Styela clava: one gene and its partner. The protein of the gene in region 1 interacts with the protein of each later gene in a pairwise test. Links are inferred from orthologs where the notes say so. Each region holds a gene or a part of one and is shown on either strand. Other genes may lie near its edges.

Region 1 (12,248 bases):
GTGAAATACTCCCCGAAATATACTGTGCTATCGAAGTCACATGGCCTACCTTTGACCAATGGTTTGGGAGTTGAAAACCAGATGGAAGGGAGCCTGAGTAGCAATTGTGAAACAAGTGGCGTTCAAACATCTACTACGTACTGTCAAGAAAATGCTATCATATCAAATTCGCCTTCTTTAAATAACCCAACAGACCTTATCGAAGCACCGCAGAATCCAAGTATCCAACAGTCTCATAATGAAGCGAATATTGAACAAATGGATATAGCGGAAGATAACACATTAAATTCAAAGCTAAATGTTCTGGCAGGTGATAAAGAGCCATCACTGACAGCCCAAAAAATTGAAATAAAAAAGGGCAAGGAATCATTAATGGAATCAGAAACGTCTACCGGTAATGCAGTTCAATGTGCACCAGCAAATGAGAATTCGGAATGCGCAACTTTAGATATTTTACTTGAAAATTCTGCAATTGAGACTGACAATTCTGCAGTCAGTAATAAAATAAGAGTAACGAATTTGAACCGAGTACCTGTGACTTCCAAGACTGTGGATAATGGAATTCAGAGTCAATCCACTTTATCAATACAAGCTAAAACTAACTTTTTGTCATCCCAGAATTTTTTGATTGGGTTCGCAGGACATGAAAAGGGGTCTGATCAAGACAGTCCAGCTTTTAACGCTAATATTATAAAAGATATGCAGAATACTGAAATGGAGATTGACAATACTGCAGCTAGTAATGAAATAAGTGTAACAGATCCGAACCAAATATCCTTGTATGGTAATAATGTGAAAAGTGCGATTCATAAGCTGTCTTCTTTTCCAATGCAAGCTGAATCTAACTTTTCGTCATCCCAAAATTTTGGAGGGTCTGATCCAAATATTTTGAAATTGAATATTGACGTAACAGATATGGCTGCAGAACATACAATACAGGCTGGCACCTATTTTATGCCTTCCCAAAATCATAGTAGCGAGTCCACAGGACATAGAAAAGGCCCAGATCCAGAGATTTTAAAATCGAATACTAATATGATTGCAGATACTGAAGGTTTTGTGGAAGCAAATAGCCATTTACCATCGGACACCCATCAAATATCAAAAGATCTCAATGAAAAATTGTGGCAAAGCTACCAAAAAAGCAATGATCATAATCTTCCAGAAATGGTGCATAAAAATTCTGAAGGCTCAGCCTTGATTGTTAATGGGAAAAAAGGAAATTTGCTGTTACAACAAACACTGTGCAATATGGCATTTACAAATTTTAAAATGAACAAACAAAAAACGCTTGGAAATTTATCAGGTAAAAAAATAATAATTGGAAAGCCTGATGATGAAACTTTGATTTCCTTACGAAAGAGGACGGTACAGAAACCTCAATGTGAGGAGAAATTTGATAAATCGCAGGCCTATTCTGTGGGTCACGAAATCAAGGAATACTCTGCGCTTCTGAAAAAAGTATCAATGGATAACGGTGAAGACCCATGTGTATTGATGCCCATACCTGGGACAGACCCTCAAATATATCTACCAAAAAATTTAGAAAATTCTTTGTCTTCTGTCCTGTTGGCAAACGGAATATCAGAAAAAGAGTGCATTTTACAACGATTGGAATCCCTTGGTGGAGATATGAGAACCTTAACTGGCTTTGATAGCTATGAGCACTTTGATTTATTTTTTAACATGCTTGGCCCATTAGCGTTAGAAATGACTTCCAAAGCGTTAAAATCGCGCGAGCAACTTTTCTTGGTTCTTGTTAAATTATCTGGTGCGAAATCTGACATTGAAATATCTAAAGCGCTTAAAATCGGGCCCACCAGTGTTCGAATAATTTATGAACGATGGGAAGAATTCATGTTGAATCAACTACAAAGCGTGTTGGGAACGCAGAAAACTGAGTGGATGTCTGGCATGTGAGGGGGTTTTGCTCGAAGCAAAATCCAGAGCCCTCAACTAAAAGTGAAAAGAGTACTGATAGAAGAGTTGCGGGTTTGCTCAAAGCAACGTCTCAACCCCACAACTAAAAGTGGAAAGAGTACTGATAGAAGAGTTGAAAGTTTGGTCCAAACAATGTCCCAAGCCATCAACTAAAAGTGGAAAGAGTACTGATGGAAGAGTTGCAAGTTTGGTCTAAACGATGTCCCAAGCCGTCAACTAAAAGTGGAAAGAGTACTGATAGAAGAGTTGAAAGTTTGGTCCAAACAATGTCCCAGGCCCCCAACTAAAAGTGGAAAGAGTACTACTGGTAGAAGAGTTGCAACTAATATTATAGGGGCTTTAACACAGATTCAGGCTTGTGAGACTGCCTATATATAACAATGTTCATTGCTCCATTTTTTATGCTTTTTTATACTTGTTTTGTTCATTTAAAAATTTTCCACTGTGATCAATGCTGGGTTACATTTTTCTTATTTGGGTGAAGTCCGACGTAGTTTTTTTTATTTGGAGGAAGGAGTTAAATTAGGGGTTTCGCGAAGAGCGTTGAGTTGAGTCTGGTTCGCTTCTGTGCACGTTAATTGAATAGATTTGATTTTGTATTGTACCACCAGTGCAGTAAAGGAATGACAAAGTCTCTGGAAATGTTGATTTTGATGAGAGTTTTTCAGCTTAGTCTTAACAAATTGTAATGCAGGTAGTTTATGCAGAGTAAATTTCACCAGACAGATCGATTTGTCATTTTGAGTGCCTTCTAATATAATAAACAGATGCACCTCCAATTTGGATGGAAACCAGGAAAACTAACTCGGTTACACAAAAAGTGGGCTGGACTTTGCTATTGACCTAAAGTAGGGGTGTGCAAACTAGTTTAATCTGGTTCGTGCGAGTAATTCCAATCCAATTTGAGTCCCAATTCATTATCTATACCTAGGACGTTACAACAGCTAGCTTGTGCAATGCGAACAGCGCATTTCATAAGATCGATGACCATAACCAAACTCGTTTTAACGCCCGATCTTGATTAAGGGCCCGTTTGAATAGCCGCCCGTGTGAACAAAACATAAAAAAAAATAGGGGCCGGTGCTTGAATACCCGCCCGACTCCACAAACTCTACGTTTACTATTTTTTCTAAACAAGGCAGCACGTATTTAAATAAAATAATTTTAGTTTATTAGCCTACATTAATCAGTAAGTTACAGTGTGTTTTTTTATAGATTTATTGTGGGGCCCCAAGAAAAGGCTCCATAACAGCAAAAGTTTGAGAACCCCTAGTCTTGGGCAGGGCTACTCAGCTATTTTTACCAAAGATCCGCATACAACACTTTAAAATTATTTGGGTCCGGTCTTTCCAGAAATTATATTTTGGCATCCTTAAATGCACACTTTCTCAACCAACCGGCTGATGATTATTAGCAAATCAAGATTGTTTATTATGGTGTTATAGTTCTTTTCATTTATATTCAAAACTATAAAATTCATTTTATAAAAGGAAACTTGAAAAGTGATCCAAAATGAAGAATTATGTGCGGTCCGAATCCAATAAAGGCCCGGATTCTGACCGCCAGTTGAGTAGCCCTGGTCGAAAGTACTTATTTTAGATTGTGAAGAAAATTCAGAACCCTAACCCCCCGTTCAATAACAGAAAGTCTCGACTGCGCCGCATTCTGTGATATAAATCCACTTATATTATTACAGTAGAAAAATCACAACTCAATGGAACTGTACAATGACAATAAGGTTGTAATCACTGGAAAAAATTTGAATCCAAAAGTTTGGAAAGAATTAGTCAAAAGGGAGCTCACAGCAGGGTAATGCACACATTGAGCAACTACTAAAATTTGGATTTTTTTTATGAAGTTTCTTCGAAGCGAGGTCCTACGTCCTCGACTATAAGTGAAAAGAGTATTGATATACAGGGTGTCGATAAAGTCTCTTTACAATTTTAATTTCGTTATGTAAATCAAGTTGTCAATATATATGAACCAGGTTTGTTATTTTTTAATTGTTTGCAAGCGTTCAAGTTTTTTTACCTCATTTAATACATTAGTGAGGACCGAAACAATATTTGGTAACAATAAATTACTTTTGCAATTTTAAGACTTTATGGACACCCTATATAGGTTGCAAGAATACACTGAATTCAATTAATTTAAATAATAAGTAAATTTCAGCCAATTTCTGAGCTTTATCTAAAAATTTGTCCATTTACTTTACCAGTAATGAACGGGGCCAGAGATAGCAACAAATTTGAAAAAAGAGTTTTCAAGGTCAAAGTTTTTTTCAAGGGTATTCGTCGTCCTCCTCAGCCACTTCCTTTGCGAACTCGATGTCTTGAAGTTCTCTTTCACGGCGCTCTTCCGCGCTCTCTAAATCAGCGTGGTATGATTTTGGGGGAAACCTCATTGCCATAACTGAATTACGATAGATATCCAAGCAAAATTCGATTCGATTATGGAATGCTTTTTGCGGCTCCCGTGTCCCATAAACATCAGTCGTATCACGAGTACGAACATACCCTTCCTCGTGATTAATTTCCGCTTCAATGACTCCGTCTTTAATCGCCTTGGCGATGATAAACTCCGCTTCCTCTGCAGAATCGAGTTGTAATTTTTTCGCAGCGTCAGTGAGGAAAATTCTAGAATATCCGACAGATATTTGTCGAACTCCAGTTTTGATAACATTATGACGGACTCGTAAAATAAGCGTGTACATGCGATCCGCCCGGAAAACATCTCCATGCTTTTCTAAATTCTCATTGAAGAGCTTCAAGTCTCCTGTCCGAACCGCTTGTGTTAACTCGAAATACGGTATCAAAGCACCCCTTATCGATTCTTTTTTGAATTGAGCACGCTCTGGAATTTCTCCGAGAAGTAACTCAACCGTGACAAGCAATTTAGTCACAGTTTGCTTGAATCCGACAGCAGTTGCTTGCGGGGCTTTGCGAAGAGCGCTGAGTAGCGTCTGGTGTGCTTCTGAGTACTCTAATTGAATAGCTTTAATTCTACCAGTGTAGTAAAGGAATCTTGCCCATTCGTTGTTCGACGATGTCTCCGGGAACGTTGATTTCGATGCAAGTTTTTCAGCCTGGTCGTACAAATTATAATGCAAGTAGTTCCGAAGAAGTAAATTCAACAGCACAGATTGGCTTTCCTGGTCGTGGTTCAACGTTGCAGTTCGCAGTCGAGAATGTAACACGCCTCTTATGTCCTCCAAACGGTTCGTCATTTCATAAGCTCTGCTGTAATAGAAATAACATTTCGCAGCCAAACTGTCAAGTGAACGGCGATTTTGGCTCACAAGTTTCGTGACAATTGCAGTTGATAACTTAACAGCCTCATCGTACGAATTTTTATCAACAACGTAGATCAGCACTAGGAGGTGGATGTAAATATCAGTCTCCGGAATTCGAAAACTCTTTGCTTGTCGCGAAGGTGGTGCCGAAGCAGCGTCTGCGCTTTGTTTTGTAGCTGTTTCCATAGGTTCATCAATGAAGGACAAAAGCATTTCTTTATTTGCATTGTCAGTAGCTTCTCTTCCATTATACACGAGCGAGATGATTTGATGAAATATTTCGGGATTTAATCTTCTTCGAGTCGCAGGGATAGACCGCATTACTCTCATTGCATGACGAGGTTCCTTCATAGTCACGGAACGATCTAAAAGTCGTAACTGTTCTTTGAAATCTTCAATAAAAGCTTTATCAGCCTTTTCTTTCGGGTCAATTTCATCTTTTTCTGGTTTTTCTTCTTCTTTTTTCTCAACTTCCTTCATTTCGACATCTTTTGTTGACGTCTTAGACGCCCTTTTTCCCTTAACCATTTTGAGGATATTAGATTTAATGTTACGTACAATTCTAGTAATAAACAGAATAAATAAACTTTTGTGAAGCTGCCAAAAAATTCATCTTCACATTCTATTGAACTGTATGAACTGAAACATGGCTCGTGGTTATGATTACTTACCAACACCATTCATTAGCTTACGGTACCCGATATGTACCGTACCTTTGACAATAACAGCATTCCCAAAACAATAAATTCATTTTGAATTCACTACAATCTGACAATAAAATACCGGTAATAAATTATCGTACCTTGGAATCCATAAATGGCCTTCCATACCGCAGATTTTCAAATAATTCTCAAGAGCTAAAAAATAAAAGTCTAGTTAAACTCATACAACTGAAGTATAAAACAATATATGACAGATAATGCTAGCATATTGCTATAAACTGCAACTCCCTTCACAAAGCTAAGCCCCGAGAAATGCTGATTCACATGCAAGTCATGTTTAAGCGATGCCTTTGGGGTGCAAGGAGTCGCATTACTCTGACGGTCACGAAAAGTCGTAATCGTATTTCCCTTGGGGGAAAGGTAGCATAAGCGTGGTTCCCTTGGTTAGTAAAATTAGCTGCTTCAATCGCTCGGCCACTGCCATATCTAACGCAGTAATTGGGATATTTTTTAAATCATCCCCGCATGGGATTCGAACCTGCGAACCCACGAAGGGTAATCAGAGATGCGGTGCCAGCGTATTCCTAACGCTTAACACGATGCGCCACACCGCCGAGCCAAATACGCGGATGTAATGTAGGAGATGCGGAGATGTAACTCGACACACCGATATAGATAGATAGTTTATTTTGAAAACTGACAATACAAACAAATTCCGGAGAGCGAGCAAAAAAATTTAAAACAAGATGAGTACAGTATCATGTGCCTCACCAACAAATATTATATATTTTATGGTAATTTAGTACTTTATTGACCATCATAAAAGAATCGGGTTTAATATGACGTAAATATATACTACATAATAATAAAGACAGCACTATGTGAAAATATTACTACAATCATTAACAGTAAATTGCATTATATACGAATAAACTTACTCTGAGAAGTTCGAGTCTATATTCTCGCTGGTGTGACGTATCGTGCTCAGCATTAGGAAAACGATCATTATCGCGCCTCCGATTACCCTGCGTGGGTTCGAATCCCGTGGGAAATAAATATATGGATTGCTGAACTCCCGTTTTTGTAGGCCATGGTAATTCACGTAACCGCCGATAATTAGAAGATATCGGGAGGACATTACTGTAAATGTGACGCATCGTGCCGACATTAATTGCTAACCCTCTCCTCTGATATTAATATGTTAATCCTATTTCATTCCGTCAACAAAGTCATTTTCGTTTTTTTGGTAGAAAAAGTCTGAAATGAATTCTCGATTTCAGATGGTATGTCATAGGATTAGATTTTTCTTCTCGGAGATGAATATGATAATTCCAGCCTTTCGACGTGTTGATTTTCAGTCCTGTGAATGAAAACAACGCAAAGTAAAAGTTGCTCAGAAGTCGGAAGGGCAAATACCAAAACACCAAAGGGTATAAGGCTACGACATCAGATAATATAAGTGGAGATAGTTTTTCATATTTGTACAAAGGAAGAGGACAGACAATTGAGTGGCTAAATCTTTTGGCGAGTTAAACCACGTCGCATCCAGTTGCCAGCCCATACCGAGTTGGACTTTATGGCGGGGTAAACTGTATCCAATCAGCGGTTACGCGAATAGCAATCATCGTGCACATAATTATTCCCCACGGGATTCAAATTTGCGAACCCACAAAGAGTAATCAGAGGTGCGATGGAAAGAAACGACAACCGCCGAGCTGGCTGCATATTTTCAATATGATGCCGTATTGCAGAAAGCTACACTTTAGGTGTTGTACTTGTTTGTGCATATTATTCTTGTATTGTGTGATTTTTAATTTCCAAAACAATGAATGTTAGTGTAAACTGTTGTTTAGGTTTTATATATATAACAAGAGAGCAACGCTCAAATATATGGACACGTTGACCAGAGCGAAGCAGTCCTTACCTATGACGTTACCGGTACCTTACCGTACCCTCAAAAATTCCGAGTTCACAGTCGCAAGAATTTTAGGATAGGATAGGATTTACATATTTATCCCGGGGGGGTAGGGAGTAAAGCCGATAAGACGGCTTATCCATATGGCGAACCACGGCCTCTCGTTCGGTTACCATTCCAAGTCGGGTATGGGATTAGTTATATTGTTTGTTTTCGGAAGCATGGACTTGGTGGTGGAGGAAGCCGTAACCGATCAGCGGTTGAGTGAACCACCCAACGACGGCGAGGAGTCCAGCAATCCTCTCGCACATAACTATTCATGCGTGGGATTCGAACCTGCGAACCCACGCAGAGTAATTAGAGGTGCGGTGGCGAGCGTATTCCTAACGCTTAGTCCGTTGAGTCACTCCGCCGCGCACAGTCACTCATCACACTTGGCGGATTAAAAACCGTGTTCCCATAATTAAAATGTAATACAGCGCAATTTTGGATGAAACATTAGACCTCCTAGGATTTATAGAAAATTTAGGGACAAATAAAAGTTATAGCCTTCTAGAGAAAAAATCAATTCTCAACCACTGAAAATTTCAAAACAATTGGTCCAGTATTCGAAGAGAAAAAGCGATTTTATCGCGACGAAGAAAAAGAACGTCGACAAGAACAACAACATAATATCAAAACGATCCATAGGTACACTCACGTGTCCAAATATAAAAACGATTTATAACTTACGTGTCCGATAATTGAGCCCTCGTTGTTGCAAAAAAGTTCTCTCACTTTCAACGTGTTACGTCGCCGTTCTGGATGATTGGCTATGAATCATCTGTTCCTGACGTCACATGTTGTTCTTCAGTGAAAAATTTGCGGCCAGATCGGCTTTCTGGGTTTCCGCTGGCTGCGTTTCACAGTTTTATCTGATGGCTGCGGCCGTCAATTTGTAATAAACTTAGTTGTAACGCCATGGTACAAAGTTAACGGCACCAAATGCTGGAAGGCGAACAAACATGACGAAAATTCGAGATAAATTTAATAAAATAGTGGATAATTATTAGGTATAGGATTTACTGATTTATGTCAAGGGAGAATTTAGCAATGCACGGATGCCTGGCTGCACCAACCACGGACTTCAATGTTCAGACGCCACTCCAATGTTTAGGTAGACTAGTTGAGAGTGCAAAACTGGAATTTATTTTTTTTATTGGCCAGCAGGGCTGCCACTCTAGATGTTTTATATCTAGATCTAGATGTTTTTTTCAAGATCTAGATGTAAAATTTGGAGCCTAGATGTTAGCTATAAAAAATCTAGATATTTTTTTTTTCAAAGTTCGAAGTATTATTCAGTGGGAAATAAATAAAGAGATGTGTATAATACTGTAATAGGTGAATGAATATTATTTCAGTATTTAGAAGAATTGATGTAAGATTGATAAAACTCATTTATATTGTATTCGTCCACCGCTACGGTACCATCCATATCTAATTAAAATATTTAAATAATGAATTAAACATGTGATGTTCGAATTAACGTTAAATAGAAAAGACGACGTTGGTTCGATCAGTCAGTGCTTAGTATTGCATTGTTGCCAAGACTGCAAGGGGTGAGAATAACTGGGTCTAGTATAGTTTAGTACCACAAGTACTTCCGGTGGGCGCAGCATAACGAATTTTGCATATGCTATTCTTAACCCCCACCTGACTATGCCATCCAAAAATTATGTCACTACGACGACACCATCAAGTCATAGGGATTGCCAAAGTATAATTACGATCACCCGAAAAAGGCCGAAATGTCATATGTGCCGCCGATAACGAACTTGCTAAAGCCGGCGATCTCTCTCCTATCGTGATCGTTGTGACGAGAAAACGAGAGAAATTGCTTGCTCGATTTCGGGTGATCTTCTGCGCGTTTTGGACGACCATCCGCATACTTCGGTGGGCCTTATGACGCCACTGTGGCGTCGAAATGACGTAATTTTTCGGTGACGTAGTCAGGTGGGGGTTAGGATTGACATATGCAAAAATTGTTGAGCCAGGTCAACTAGAAATACATGTGGTACCGATACTAAACTATACCAGACCCGAATAACTTGTGTTGTTCAAGTTGCTTACTCCTGTACTTCAAGATTTTAAAATTATAAAGTTATTTGAATCTATAAGTGATATTGAATTTGTCTCTCTTTACACATCAACCTATCGAAATGCCAAAGTGGATTGCCCATTCAGATGATAAGGACAAAGCTCTTTGTGAGTTCTACGGGTTGGAATTGAATTCTAGGTTATGATGTTAGCTTCTTCGACATCCAATATTACTGTTTTATGTAAAACAATAAACTTTGTATGCTCCTGTTTTGTTAATTTTCATTAAATTCAATGACTTCCTAGATGTTTTTCGAGGTCAATCTAGATGTTTTTAGTCAGGCAAAAGTGGCAGCCCTGTAATGGCCAGATAGGAAGCACTTTGGTACAAGGGCTTAAAATGAAATTATCTGTCTTTCACCTTATTACACAATATAAGGGTCTCATGTAGTTTCGAACCTAACATACTTCTAGTGGGCGTAGCATGACAATTTTTTCACGTATCAATCCTAACCCCCACCTGACTACACCATCCAAAAATTACATCATTACGACGTCACAGTGACGTAATGGAGCCCTTCAAACTATATGAACTGCCGTACAAGACGCGCAAACGAGCACCCAAAATCGAACAGTTATTTCTCTCGTTTCCTCGTCGCAACGGTTCCAATAGGAGAGAGATCGATAACTTCAGTCAGTTCTTTATCGTCAGCGCCAATGCCATTTCGGGCGATCGTACGAATATTTGGCAAGCTCTATGACGTGATTGTGATGTCGTAGTGACGTAATTTTTGGATGGCTTAGTCAGATGGGGGTTAGGATTGACATATCAAAAAATTGTTATGCTACGCCTACTAGAAGTACATTAGGTACGAAACTACACGAGACCCCAATGTAATACCATTTCAGAATTTATTGATTTATGTTGTCATTCTGAAAACGCAACACTCGGTAAAAGAAATCATATTACAGAAATGCCTGGAAAACGAGCAAAACTTAAGAATAAAGTTTATAACGTGTAATGCATGTGCTTGTTCACCAAAAATGACACACATAATAACAAATATATAAAGAATATCGGTCAGAGACCGAAGACTTATCGATCGAAAGTTAGGGGATTCCCCGAAACAGAAACTGCGGTTTCGATTTATCCACTCTTACTCCACAGATGGAGAAATATTTTTAATATATTAGACGCTCGTTGGCACCCATATTCGAACTTTGCAGCTTTTGTGAGGAATAATTACTTAAAATTATGCCTGACTGCCTGAGGGGGTTGCCTGTTATCTGAGAATGGCATCTGTAACAATTATAGTCCTGTAGTCAATGCATTTGAAAATGATTAATTTAAACGCTCGCAACTCACAGAGAGCAAAAAAGAGTGTAATTGTTTAGTTACGGTAAACAGAAAACACAGGCACAGCAAAATATTGGTGAAAGCAAAATGTTCTAGGTACAGATTTTCTGACGATAAGACAGCCCAGTTATTTACCACCCACCATTTGTGTATATCGAAAGTATTTGACACATATCAGTACTGTATGGCATAGTTCTTCGATTCCAAGTATAGCCCCCAAATAAAAGACATCAAACATCACCAAGTACAGTTTCAAGTATTTTGTGGCGTCTAGATCTGCCGCAAAACCATGGCAGGATTTTCAAACCATGGCCGCTATGACCAAACCCACGGCAACTGACTGTTTAGCTGCCGTAATCACAGCAGCTCGCTATTGGTTTGTGTACCACCAATTTTGCTGCCATAACCACGGCATGTCGGCTGTAATAGCAGGGCTGCCCCTGATGGTGATAAATATTGGGTAAGTTGAAACACTTTTCTTATGAAAACAATTTTGATGTATTTGGGGATAGGTTTAGGTTTAAGTAGATATAATTCCGCATGATAAACTAAAATATTGTACATGACTTTGTAAATATACCGATAATACCGCCATAAAACCATAGCAAGAGACGGCGCGGTACGTTCGTGGCAGGAGCTGCCTCAATATAACAGTGAAAAAAAAAATCTTGATTTATTTTTTGTCATACTTTTGTACCTACTTACTTCAGAACAAAAAATAAATAAATTATAACAGTGAGTTCAAACCCCTCCTTAATGTATGACAGTCTGGGCCTCCATAGCTTTGTGCAATAAACTGAAAGGAAGTTCAATCTAAAAATGTTACCATTGAATTTCTCAGAAAAAATAATTCGATATACTGAAAAAAAGTTACCGTAGCATTTAAGAGTTTTCAGCAAAAATCGCAAGTTTAGTCATGTGACAGTTGCGATTAATTTACGGTAGATTATTATTGAGACAAGCATGACACAAACTGACCAGTGCCAGACACCCTCGCTTCAGAGA
Region 2 (12,563 bases), on another chromosome or scaffold:
CAACAGAAGAAAAGAAAGTCAAGTTAAATTTCTTTGTCTTATTCACAAACAGAAGACATCTATTTCCGAGGTTCGATCGCATGGGTAAGTTGATGGTTACTGTGACTGGTCCAAGTTTGCCTCATTGCATGTCCTAACATAGTCAAAAGCTAACATAGTTAAAGCGAAATGTTAGGCACGCAGTAATAGTAACATGATACTGCAAGAGTTTATCTATATTTTACCTTTGCAAAATTTTTGATCCTTATTTTCAGAGCGTTTCGCCCAAGTTTCATTTAAACTAATTTACATGTTCATAACCACCATTTTATTCAAATTATTTCACCTTCTGTCATTAAATAGTTAACTAATCTAGTCTTGCTATTCCGGGACTAATTTTTGGTAACTGCACCTGAACTAAATCTCCTCAGAATACGAAATGGCCATTTATTTTACTGAATTATAACTAGGTAAATTTTTGGAAACACAATGAAAAACTTGCGAAACTATGAAAACAATCTAATTGTTACTGACCTTTGGCATCCTGCTCACTAACCAATGCGACGGAACTAAACAAGAAGGTAGATGCTTGTGGAAACATCCATTGTCTTCCTATTAAAATCCATATGATACGTAAGAACAATCTCCAAAATAGTTAGTGCTCAGTTTTTGTAGCATTTTATAAATATTATTTCAGAGGGCCGTCCTCACCTAACTTTTCCTGTAAGAAGAAGATCTTCAAATTTAGTCACTCGTACCAGCCAAGAAAAAATTCCATCAACTGACAAAACAATGTCACCTGCACCTTATCCCAGCACAGTTTTGAATGTCAAACAACAAGGACAAAGTCCTACATCTTCTCAATCGACGTCTTCACTACAAAAACTCGCAAATCAGGCCACAACTCCGACAAATTCTGCGAAAAAAGAAGCTATTCATTTATCGCCTCTTTCTTCGAGAAAATTTAATATTAATGCTCAAGCGAGAGAAACATTTGCAAAAACAAAATCACCGACGGAATCGATAGTTTCGCCGACATATAACCAAGAAAACGTTTTCTATACCCCTGGACCACCAAGTCTCATAAAAAGAAAATTGATATCTCAGGGAAGACGACAATCAATGCCTAATGTAGGTACCTTGCCACTTGGGATTCGACGTAATCCACAAGATCCACCAAGACAAGCAACAGAGTTTTTACAAATGCAGAATTCCACAGGACATTCTGTGAGATCTACAAATGAAGATAAATTTGCTTTACAAGAAGAAGGTTTGTCCAATCATAGGTCATTATAGGTTATGTGAAATGGTTTTTGGATGTCCTGAAAAACCATTTTTCCCTTAGCACCACAAGTGTGGAAAAAATTGATAGGCCTATTATTGAATGTACTTGAAGTATTCTTTTTCTTTAAGACCCATTCTAGCATTCTGCATGATTATTCTGAGTCATGTTCTCGGTGAAGGTGCAAAACAACGCATAAAAGCATATTTTGTTTTCATATTACAATCACGCATCGAAAGAAAACTTTAAAGGAGCAGTATATAAATATAACAAAAACATAAGTCGAGACCTGGTATTATTGCCAATCTTTTTCTTCACCTTTCTATGGTCTGATCTAATGGCAGCATGCCAAATGGAAATATATTCTGAGTGATTGAAGAGTCTTGATTCACACTGACACAAATATATTTCTGTAACGTTTCGTCTGACCAAAGTCAGACTTCCTCAGACATACATCATTCAACTATAACAAGAAAAGCACTTGCATTCATATTTAAAAAATCAGTGTAAAACTATTAAATCATATTGTTGGTTTGTTTTATTTTTTATTTATCACATTCAAAGTTCCTAATCATTTGATTATGGACAAAAATCTTACTTATCTGGACATATTTTCTAGAACATTTCAGTTTAAGTTTCGTTTATTTCTCTCAGGCCTACCATCATTTGTACAATGTGAAATCAGTCGATTGAAAGATTTTCTCAAAAATATTTGTGCTTCTGCTGAAATACAATGCTACAGAAATCAACTATGGGATAAAGTCTACATGGATAAACCTGTGAGCAACACATTTTTATTCTTTAGTGAAGTTTCTTCCAATTTTTCCAATCAGTTTAACAAGATATCTTGTTATGGTGAATTTGATTGTATTTTTGTAGAACGAGAATGTTTTCCTTCGCTCAATTATCATACGGTAATTTTATACATTCGAATTTTCCCGTAGATTTCATAGTCCATGCCTAGTATCTATTCATTAAACTGGGTAAACAATCCTAATTTGTGCTCTAGTTTGAGTTTTAAAAAGTTCAACTTCAGGATGAGATTTTGACAGAAAAAACTTCTGATTATAAAATTTTACTATCTTGGCTCCCTGCTTTTTCAGTCTCTTATTCCCATATGTTTACAATTATTTTTCATATCTTTTGTTACCTAGTCTCCAAACAAGACTTCCATGCTTCCTGTTGAAGATTTTGAACATTTATTGAAACATTGTCAAAAAGTTCCTTTGCAAAATATGGATTTTCGTGGACATGATCTGTGTAATATCGAAACAATGGGAATACAGTGGGCAATTGGACTTCAGAAACGCATGCTTTCAAAATTCAATCAAATATGCAGATTTTACACAAATTCTGAAGGAACGAAAAGATATTTGGTTAGTATTATTTCTTCATTATTCTTTTCTATTTTTATATCATTCTTTGGAAGGAAAACATGAATTGAGTACATAAATCAAGTGTTGGGACATGGTTTCCTCAAATCACAGGTTTTCAACATGACATAGGTTTGACCTGAATCGGGGTAAATTTCACAAACAAGAAGTACATGGCCGTTAAGAACATAGTAGATTACTGCTTTTTGGGGATCGCAATAGATTCTGCTCTATTCGTAAGCTGTTTTATATTAGGTAATGCATTGACAGTCGTCATTACGGCTATCCAGCTATCAGTTCCTTTAAAAATGAAAATGATCAAAACAACCTTATATTTAATTGCAGGGAATATTGAATCCTAAGCTTTATTTCATGATGCTATTGATTACTGTTGATACTGAGAATGAAGATATTGTAAGTATAAATTGTATTAACATGAAGAATCCAGACATTAAACCGAATGAATATTTCCAATTTGAATGTTATAGTCGGGATTCTTGAGTAAATAGACACCATATGAATCCAAATTTTGGCTTTTTGGCTCAAAATTTGACTCTAAACTGAAGGAAGTGTCAACTTGGAATCTAGGTCCCAACTCTGGAAAAACGAGATTTTGATCACAAAAACTTGGGCCAATACCTTTCCTTAATCTTTTGTTAATTCTTTTTTAGTTTTAGTCAGAAATATAGACTTCAATTACTATTATATTATCAATAGAAATGAGAAAGCAGCCAGAAATCGCACCATTAATTATATATGCATCATTCTATATACATTTCATCACATTCCCAACTATGTGGTTGGTTGAGTACAGCAAAAAGCTACATTACAAGTTGTATTAGAACTAATTTTAGCACAGAGTGCCATGATTTTTTTCCAACTATTAGCTAAATTTTACTAAATCAAAAATCATTTATTAAACTACATAAAAAAGAATAATTTTTTTAAAATTTCAGGGAATGTTTATTGTGATGAGAGATAAATGCCCAGAGTTGGACAGAGATGAACCGAACCTGACAATTGGAAATCCTATTTTCATACCACTGAAACAGCATTTAAATAATATGATCAATTTTATTTGCTATTATACATGGACTTCGTTGTTGTCAAACTAATACATTCTTAATATTATTATAATATTTATCTGCTCTATGTGCCATGGTCATGTCAAATAGACCTCTGAGAAAAGTAGCAGGTGTGTCATTCGACAACTTACCTTGGTATGTCTGAAGAAGTTGGGCATGGATTATTACATTGCATTTGTGCTAAGTGGGAATATAGTATTGAAGTTTTCAGAAGTTTAAAATGAAATATGCATGAAAAAATACTACAGATATTGCTACCCCTATTTCAATTAGCTTAGATGAAGCTACATGTGTAGCACACTATTGATTTAACATTTGAAACTTTCTCATCTTTTTCCTTTGTAAAAATTTAGTAGTTTATTCTTTGTCTTTTTTGCTACATCTTGTATTCCGCACATTGGTGTGTGTTCTTATCTCAAAGAAGCGATTGGGACGAAAAGCTTAAGATGTTCAGCTGCGCGAGAAAGAAATCAAAAAATAATATAAGCTGTTTAAATTGTTTCCTGATGCCATATTCCAAGTGCAATTGATCAGTGATTTCTCTGGTGAAATATATTTTTCTTTGAAACTTGTCATTCAATAAATCTATCTTGTGAATTTTCAGTGGTATCAAATAATTCTAAGTGTCATCTTGTTGCAGTGATGTTTTGAGGCTCACATTTAATAAAAGTGTCTGGGCATTTTGAAAATAATTTAGTGAAAATGGATGCGTGGGTGGGTTCATGCTTAAGTTGGTCCTAATGATGTTCATTTGAGCATTCTTGCACACCATTGGCTCGCAATTATAACGAAAAAAGGTCTAGACCTGACATGGGCCAAATCCGGCCCGCCCGATGCTACGCAACGAAACTAAAACCAAATTTTGATCTTTTATCTGAAAAATAGCTCAAGGAACGTTTAGTTTTCGCAAAAGGCTTATTGTTTTCCTAATTTGCTTTTGTAACACTGTAAATATTCTTCAACTTTTCACATCACCCTTACATGGCTTGCCAGTCTAAGTGAGCAAAATTTTTGGTCCCTGGCCCACGCCTGTTCTAGACTGTCATATGTGCATATAGAAGACTTATTTCTAAAATGATACAAAATTTGCAACCGGCATCGTTAACTGTTCCCCGCAACATCAAGAATTGGTAGAAAGATTTAATGACCACAGCGGCAGTATACACACAAATGTATCAGCGAATTACGATAATATATTACAATAGGTAATTATTCAAAAACACTGCTGCTCTGCCAGTTTTTTTGCAACGATGGTAGCTCCAGACATGATTGGAAAATTTCAGTTTTTGCATGGGTAATAGCAGTTTTCAACTCTCAAATTTACCTAGAATATCTCCATCACGGAATAAATGGTATTCATCGTCATCAAGCAAGACTTTTGTGCCACCATATTCTGGAAGTAAAACACTATCACCAACGTCAACGCTCATTGGAATAAGTTTGCCATCTTTGTCTTTCGTGCCTGGACCTTTTGCAACCACTTTAGCTTGTAAAACTTTGCCAACAGATTTTTCAGGGAGAACAATTCCTCCTTTTGTCGTTAACTCTGGTGCACTTCGTTCAACCAACACTCTGTCAAATAGCGGCAGAAATTTCTTGAAAGCTTTTGCTGCCATTTTTGATTTTCTGAAAGATAAACGATAAGATAAGAAGTGCTGTGAAACCATATTTTATTAGGAGTGCCGAATCCTAAGTGTTCAGCACGTACTTCTTGGTCTTTTTTCATCAAATTCCTCCCTTCGCTTTTTTGGAACTCCTCATTCCCCTCTTGCTATGTACAAAAAATACTTTATTTATTCAATCTTTAATGAATCCTAGCTAGTACTATGCACAAGTAGCACCCCGCTTTTGTGTAATTTTAAAATGTGTACTTAAATAAGTAGTCTATTATAGTGAAAATAAAGAACTAAAATTGTTTACAGTATTAGTAATACTATGGCAAATACAAAGCCTACCATGAAACATACGGACATAACAAGTGATAGTTGGGCTAGGGAAATTTCTTTCTGTGGCCAATTGGCATAGTGCATTAGTTTTAACACCGGTTGAATTCATAAAATGATAGAGATGTGATTGCACTAAGTTAGAAGATTCAGAGGTCGTACGGTAAGACTGTAAGAGCCCTGATGCAGTGCTAGATCAAGAAGTCCCACGCAAAATTGCAGATGTATGTTTTAGTAACGGTACTGCTATGCTCAAAATAAAATCACTCATAAAAAACTCACCTCAACGTTAAACGCGATGCGGCAGGTCAAACACAACTCAACAGAAGAGGCGAAGAAATTTCCCGAAGCAAAACCACGCTCGATTTTCACCAGGGTTGCAACATGCGTTTCTGAAATGAAAAATAAACAACTTATTGTGACACCTAGTAACATACTACAACGAGAAGTGAATACTTTTGGGAAAATAAGTTTCAATATGTATGTAAATATTAAAATAAATGAATAAAAATATTTTAAAAGTGTTTCTTGAATAAAATATTGTGGTTACAGACATTAACATTAATTCATATGACGTAATAAATCCATCAAAATATCGCTTAATCATATTATATGAATCAGCTCATTTCTTGAGTTAGTGTGTGTTCGTCTTATTTGATCTATCTGTAGCGTTTCAGTTCAATCCGTCTTTATTTAGTTTCAGCATTTTATACATTTACATCACATAATGCCGGTTGAAAATTTAGAAGAAGAAGGTCTGAAAAAGATTCCAGACTTGGAAGTCGCGCAGTTGAAGTTCTTATTAACGTCGGACGATGAGGAAATCCAGCAAACAAAAATTAAAAAACAATTTATGGAAGCGATCGAAGCAAATGGCAAGTTTTAGAAGTTATTTTGCTAAAATTAGGATGAATTCCTCAAATTGGTTTTTAAGAAGAATTGGTGTTTCTATCTGAATATTATTGCATTTTATTACAGTATTATTGTTCTCAAACTCATGAAAACTCATTTATGATTTTATTTAAGATTTGTTTTAAGTTTGAGAAAACATGACGATTATACAGTTTAAGATTGATTGAATAATATATGAACAATGTGTTCATGAGTCGTGACAAGTTTGTATTATTAATGTTTGTATTGTATCAATGACCATTATTTAATCGAAATTCATTCTTTTCAAACTTGACGTTGGCCGACTTTAACTTCTTGTTTACTATGGTGCCAACCTAAATGTAGAATTACCTCCTATTCTGAAATAACAGTTTATACAGACCCATCTTTTCCAACCAACCAATAATCATCAATATGCTTGAATGATAATAAATTAATATGCCACAAGATGTGTAATTTAGACGTTTTCTTTTTTACAGAGATGGCACCCTATTATGAAATTGTTTGCAAAGAACTTGGAATGAAAATTAACAATACACTTTTAAAGAAATTGAAGGATACAAATGAGAAGACATTAAAAAAACTTGAAGATAAAATAACAGAAACTGAAGAAATGGAATATGAAAGTGAAGTCAGAGATGCTTTACTTGCAAAGGCTGAATATTTGTGCAAAATTGGTAACAAGGTAACAACAATTCCCTAGAATGTTTATTCATAACAGTCGACTGGGGCTGTGGATTTTGGGATCATTTTTGCCCGACTCAATTGAAAAACAAATCAGACTCTCGATTCCGAGTTGAAGAAAGTTTAAATTTTGATTATAATAACTTTGTCACATGCAAGCCTTCCTTGTCAACTTTATTCATTTTGATTATATGTTTGAAATCTGCAATCCAGATTCTGAAATATTCAATTGGATTCCGGATTCCGGGGGGTTTGAAAATGCGACTCCAATGTCAATAAAAACATGCAAAGTCAGGACTCTCACTTCCAATTAAGGTTTAGAAATGAGCTGTTCATCAATTCAATATAGCTTCTAAATGTTCTAATATTAGTCTACAATTTCATGATTTTCAACAATATGTAATAGCACAGTAAAGACATGCTCGTAAAAATTAGTCTTAATTACATATATTTATGCCTTTCCTCAAATAACTTTCAGGATGACGCTCTCGAAGTTTTCCAGAAAGCATATGATAAGACCATTGCACTTGGACACAAGCTTGACATCATTTTCTACAGAATTCGACTGGGATTGTTTTTTATGGATCATGATCTGATTACCAAGAGCATAGAGAAGGCAAAAATGTATGAAATATATTTGTTGTGCATTTTAGTTTAGAATTAAGCCCTTTGTGGCATGCACTATTTGTCCTTAGGTGATATATAATTTGGATTTTCTCTCGAAACAAAGCCATGTACAAGTAGCAAGTATCTAGCGATTCTGCCTTCATTTTTTACATCCTGGATTGGTAGACAGTGTGACCAGGGTACAGATGTCAACATTTTCACACCACGATACATCAATTTATTTCTGTTTATGATAAGTGTTTGTGATAACGATTGTTAACGATCTATACCAACTTTTATTGTTTTTCAGTTTAATAGAGGAAGGTGGTGATTGGGATCGGCGAAACAGACTAAAAGTTTATGAAGGTTTGTATTGTATTGCGATTCGAGATTTCAAGAAATCAGCAAATTTGTTTCTGGATACTGTATCAACATTCACATCCTATGAACTTATGGATTACAAATGCTTTGTCACATATGCTGTTTACATCAGTATGCTTGCTCTTGATAGAACCGAGTTAAGAGAAAAAGTGAGTTCTATTTAATGCACAACTTTACTACATTTTTTTACTACACAATTCAGTGATGATTTATCATTATGCGAAACTTAACTACAATTTACTTCAGTACATATTAACAACATATATTGATAACTCAATTCAAGCCTATAGTTAGGACATTGGGCCAAGTGTTGATAAGAGTAATTACTAGCAATTGAACCATCGTTTACCCTATTTTTGCAGGTTATAATCATATAACTGAACTAACTTTTCAAACATCAATTCAGGTTGTAAAAGGTTCAGAAATCTTGGAAGTTTTGCATAGCAATAAGGAATGCAGAAGTTACCTGTTCTCATTGTATGATTGTCATTATGCAGAGTTTTTCCAGCGTCTAGGTATGACTTAGAACGTGGAAAATTTGAATTCTTAATAATTGTTTTTCATTGGGTAATATAATACTCTGTGTGATGTGATTTTGGAATAAGGATGTAAATGTCTTAAATTCATTTCATATTATCTTTTTATTAAAGAAGTGAAATTTATTTATTTTTGAATATTACAGCTCAAGTTGAGGTGGAAATGAAGAGAGATAGATTGCTGAATCCTCATTATAGATACTACACTCGTGAGATGAGAATACTTGCTTATACACAACTCCTTGAATCATATCGTAGTCTTACATTAGAATATATGGCTGAAGCATTTGGAGTTACTGTTGAATTCATTGATAGGTATGTTTACCTGAATCATTATATTAGCTATGGGGTGAACTTTGTACCATCAATGGGAAGCTACCAGATGTGGATATTGTTATTACTTTGCATACGAGAAAAATTTCTTCTTGATCTTCCATTTAGAAATTGGAATGTCGCTAACTAAGGGCTTAAGTACTTGAAAATTTTCAATCCTTGTCTGTCTGAATTGAGTCTTGGACTCTGCTTTTGATTCGAATACGAGCAACAGAAATGTGGACAATTTGCATTGCCTGATGAGTAAATGAATATCACTATCAATCGAGTATATCAGTTTAGTATGAATTGTATTCGGCATCTGAACTGCTAACTCCCATTCACGCAATTCACTTGTCCTTCCAAAAGAATATCTACATCTATATAGTCTCACGAGCCCTCTGATACTTTGCTCAGAGATCGGCGTCCTCTGTTTCCGAGTGAGTGTGACCTTGATACGATCAACCTAATTCTTGCAAATAAAAAAAAAATCTCATCTCGTTTACACAGGGAGTTGTCAAGATTCATAGCTGTTGGGAGACTGCATTGCAAAATTGATAAGGTCGGTGGGATCGTTGAGACCAACAGACCTGATAGCAAGAACTGGCAATATCAGGAGACAATAAAGAAAGGAGACTTGCTGCTAAACAGAGTTCAAAAACTATCAAGAGTCATCAATATCTAATTATACTCTTTATTTCGTATGATAGAAACAATTCTTGTGTCCATAATGTACCATGTTGTATATATAAAATTTCAAACAAATGTGCAGTGGTGGTAAAAATACACATTCTGTGAGTGGCAAATTCAGTGGAGATAATAAGAGAGCTATGCGGTAGCAGGCTAAAACAAGCCAATCCCTTAGATGAAAAAATGACGAGCCACCATTTACAATAAATACCAAACGGGTTCCTTAGAAATATAGTAAAAACAGCCAAAGCAAGTGTATGAACATTGTGAAACTAATATTGGATATTATACCCATAAGATTTTCAAAACAGATAAAATGTGGTTTTCTAGTATGTGACGAGAATAGAATACAGCAACAAATTTTAATGTGTAATGTGAACATAGCATGTGTTTGGCCTTATTTTTACAACCAATTAGCACATTCTATTGTTCACAGCCATGAATGAATTTAAATGAACTCTTACGCACGAGTAAGCAATGGTCTAAGTATGTCATACAACATGGACGTGAATCCTTCACTAAACAGGCTTTCCACCTCGTTTATTTCGGACAGTTCATGAACATGGAAGCCCTCAAATGGTACAAGGTCGTCTTCATAAGAATCTCTTAATAAAATAGTCATGAGCCGTTCTTTACAAGCATGACCAGCTGAATCAATATCAACTTTTTGAGTTCGCATCTTTTTTAAATATTCTTTAATATCATTCTTGTTACCGTACAAGATTATAAAAATGAGATGCTTGTAAAATAAAACAACACCCTGGACTTGTAATCGAGTTGCCCATTTTTGTAACGTTTTTAGATAATTGTTTTTTGAGCGCATATGATCAAGCTGTATCACACAAATTTCCTTCGTTTTATTCTTAGCAAGACTTCCTTCATCTCCGCAACCCTGAAGTCTATTCGAATTTACACCAGAAGCAAATTTTGCCACGTTATCTTTAATCCACAATATAAGGTCTAATAACATTTGACTGTTCAAAAGATTATTCTCTGTCGCAAACTTGGACATCTCGCTGTTCAGTCCAGAGGAAGATTCTCTTGTCAGCATTGGTGAATCAATTGTCACATGTGGCACAACTTCTGGATATTTGTGAGATATATAAAAAGTAATTCTGAGTTGTTGACAATTCTCCTCCGCGTGTGTCAAATTGAGTTTAAACGATTTAGATAAAGAGCTTTCCAGATCATTAGCTTCAAACTCTCCTTGCTGACAATAAATAGACTTCACGGCTTCAATTTCATCCAGAATGGACATAGTGGTATCGTAAAAATTTAAGATAGACTATTCACAAACAAATATATAATACAAATACATATATACAATACATCAGACTAAATATAAACAAATTCCAGGATCAAAAATGAAAATACATGACTATGCTAGCGAATTAACCAATTTCTTAAATTTTAGTCTGTTTTTTGGAATATTTCCATAACACAAATCATTTAAAAAAAGCTAGGCTAATTATGAGTGGCAATTTCATCATAATGGTTATTGATAGAATGTTTGGTTTTAAGAAAGCGCGGACCATGCATGAAGTTCAGTGAGGTTTATTTCCTGGAGAGCGTACAAACTATTGCTGTCTCTTTTCAGCTTGTATATTGGTCCGACTGTTGCGGATTGTGATCTAACTAGCACAGCATTAATTCATTAGCTTTTTATATAAGCTATTATATTGAAGAAAATTATATTAAATAGATATTCCTAATTTGATTGAAGTGTAGACACAAGCCATTCCATTGCTGTGTCTAGTCCAATATTTTTCAATGCGGATGTTTTGAAAATTTGCCATTTCCTATCTCTCAGTTTAGAAAGTCCGAGCTCTTGTGCAATCTCTGCTGGTGACATAGCTTGTTCACAGTCTTGTTTATTGGCAAATACTAACAGCAGTGATTTTTTCAATTCTTCTTCTTCCAGCATACTTATTAATTCTTGTTTTGATATGCCGATTCGTTCTCGATCAACGCTATCCACAACATATATTATAGCATCTGTGTTGCTGTAATAACATCTCCAATAGGGACGAATGCTGGTCTGACCGCCCAAATCCCAGACTTGAAATTTGAGATTCTTGTAAACAACTGTTTCTACATTGAAACCTATTGTAGGAATTGTTGTGACTACTTCTCCAACTTGTAACCTATATAGAATTGTAGTTTTCCCAGCACCATCCAAACCCAGGATAAGAATTCGACGCTCCTTTTGTCCAAACAGTGATGAAAATAATGAAGCAAACAGATTCCCCATGATATAATTGACTGTTTAATAAATTCCTTTATGACGCATATATATATATATATATTGAATTTATCTATGTAAAATGAATTCAAGGATTAAATATTATATTGATGTGCTCTCTTAATAAAATAAGTTGCCGATAGATACATGAATGCTCAAACATATGGAAACAATGGTATGAAATGGTGAAGTCCGAGAGCCCTCAACTTGATGAAACGATCGACAGGCGGTCCAGCAATACTGGATACAAAGTGTTCCCGTTTTATTAAAAAGAATCCAAAATTGGTATTCGAAACTTTAAACAGTTTAGATTATAAATACAAAAATACCCTTCCTAAATGCTGATATGATTACCTTCATATTTGTGTTATACCAGTGGTACCTAAAAATTGTACTTTCAGTGTTGTTAAAACTTAAAGCAACATTACCACAACGAAAAGCTAGAATCTGACAAAGGGTAACCAAGTAGGTCAGGGATGTCTGGTGGAAATTACTACAGTACTAGCGTGAATTTGCCACATGACTGTATCTGTATGAAAGGACTTAAACTGAATCTATG

Evidence for each region.
Region 2: the proteins of 26S proteasome non-ATPase regulatory subunit 3-like (region 1) and 26S proteasome non-ATPase regulatory subunit 6-like interact in a two-hybrid assay, tested with the Caenorhabditis elegans proteins (2 studies listed by BioGRID). The link is inferred for Styela clava from reciprocal best matches to the Caenorhabditis elegans genes rpn-3 and rpn-7.

What each region holds. Positions count from the first base shown.
Region 1 is NC_135263.1:1,700,424-1,712,671, reverse strand, and holds 26S proteasome non-ATPase regulatory subunit 3-like, read right to left. Parts: upstream 5,820-12,248; 5' UTR 5,762-5,819; coding exon 4,223-5,761; 3' UTR 3,605-4,222; downstream 1-3,604. Other genes in the region: uncharacterized protein LOC120326815, read left to right, coding at 1-1,920. UniProt on the Caenorhabditis elegans protein: Acts as a regulatory subunit of the 26 proteasome which is involved in the ATP-dependent degradation of ubiquitinated proteins.
Region 2 is NC_135258.1:11,545,512-11,558,074, forward strand, and holds 26S proteasome non-ATPase regulatory subunit 6-like, read left to right. Parts: upstream 1-6,286; 5' UTR 6,287-6,389; coding exon 6,390-6,537; intron 6,538-7,032; coding exon 7,033-7,238; intron 7,239-7,715; coding exon 7,716-7,861; intron 7,862-8,153; coding exon 8,154-8,373; intron 8,374-8,630; coding exon 8,631-8,739; intron 8,740-8,906; coding exon 8,907-9,075; intron 9,076-9,582; coding exon 9,583-9,757; 3' UTR 9,758-9,837; downstream 9,838-12,563. Other genes in the region: KICSTOR complex protein SZT2-like, read left to right, coding at 1-84, 677-1,249, 1,916-2,040, 2,416-2,637, 2,980-3,048, 3,591-3,749; 10 kDa heat shock protein, mitochondrial-like, read right to left, coding at 5,027-5,335; RWD domain-containing protein 3-like, read right to left, coding at 10,223-11,020; ADP-ribosylation factor-like protein 1, read right to left, coding at 11,471-12,013. UniProt on the Caenorhabditis elegans protein: Acts as a regulatory subunit of the 26S proteasome which is involved in the ATP-dependent degradation of ubiquitinated proteins.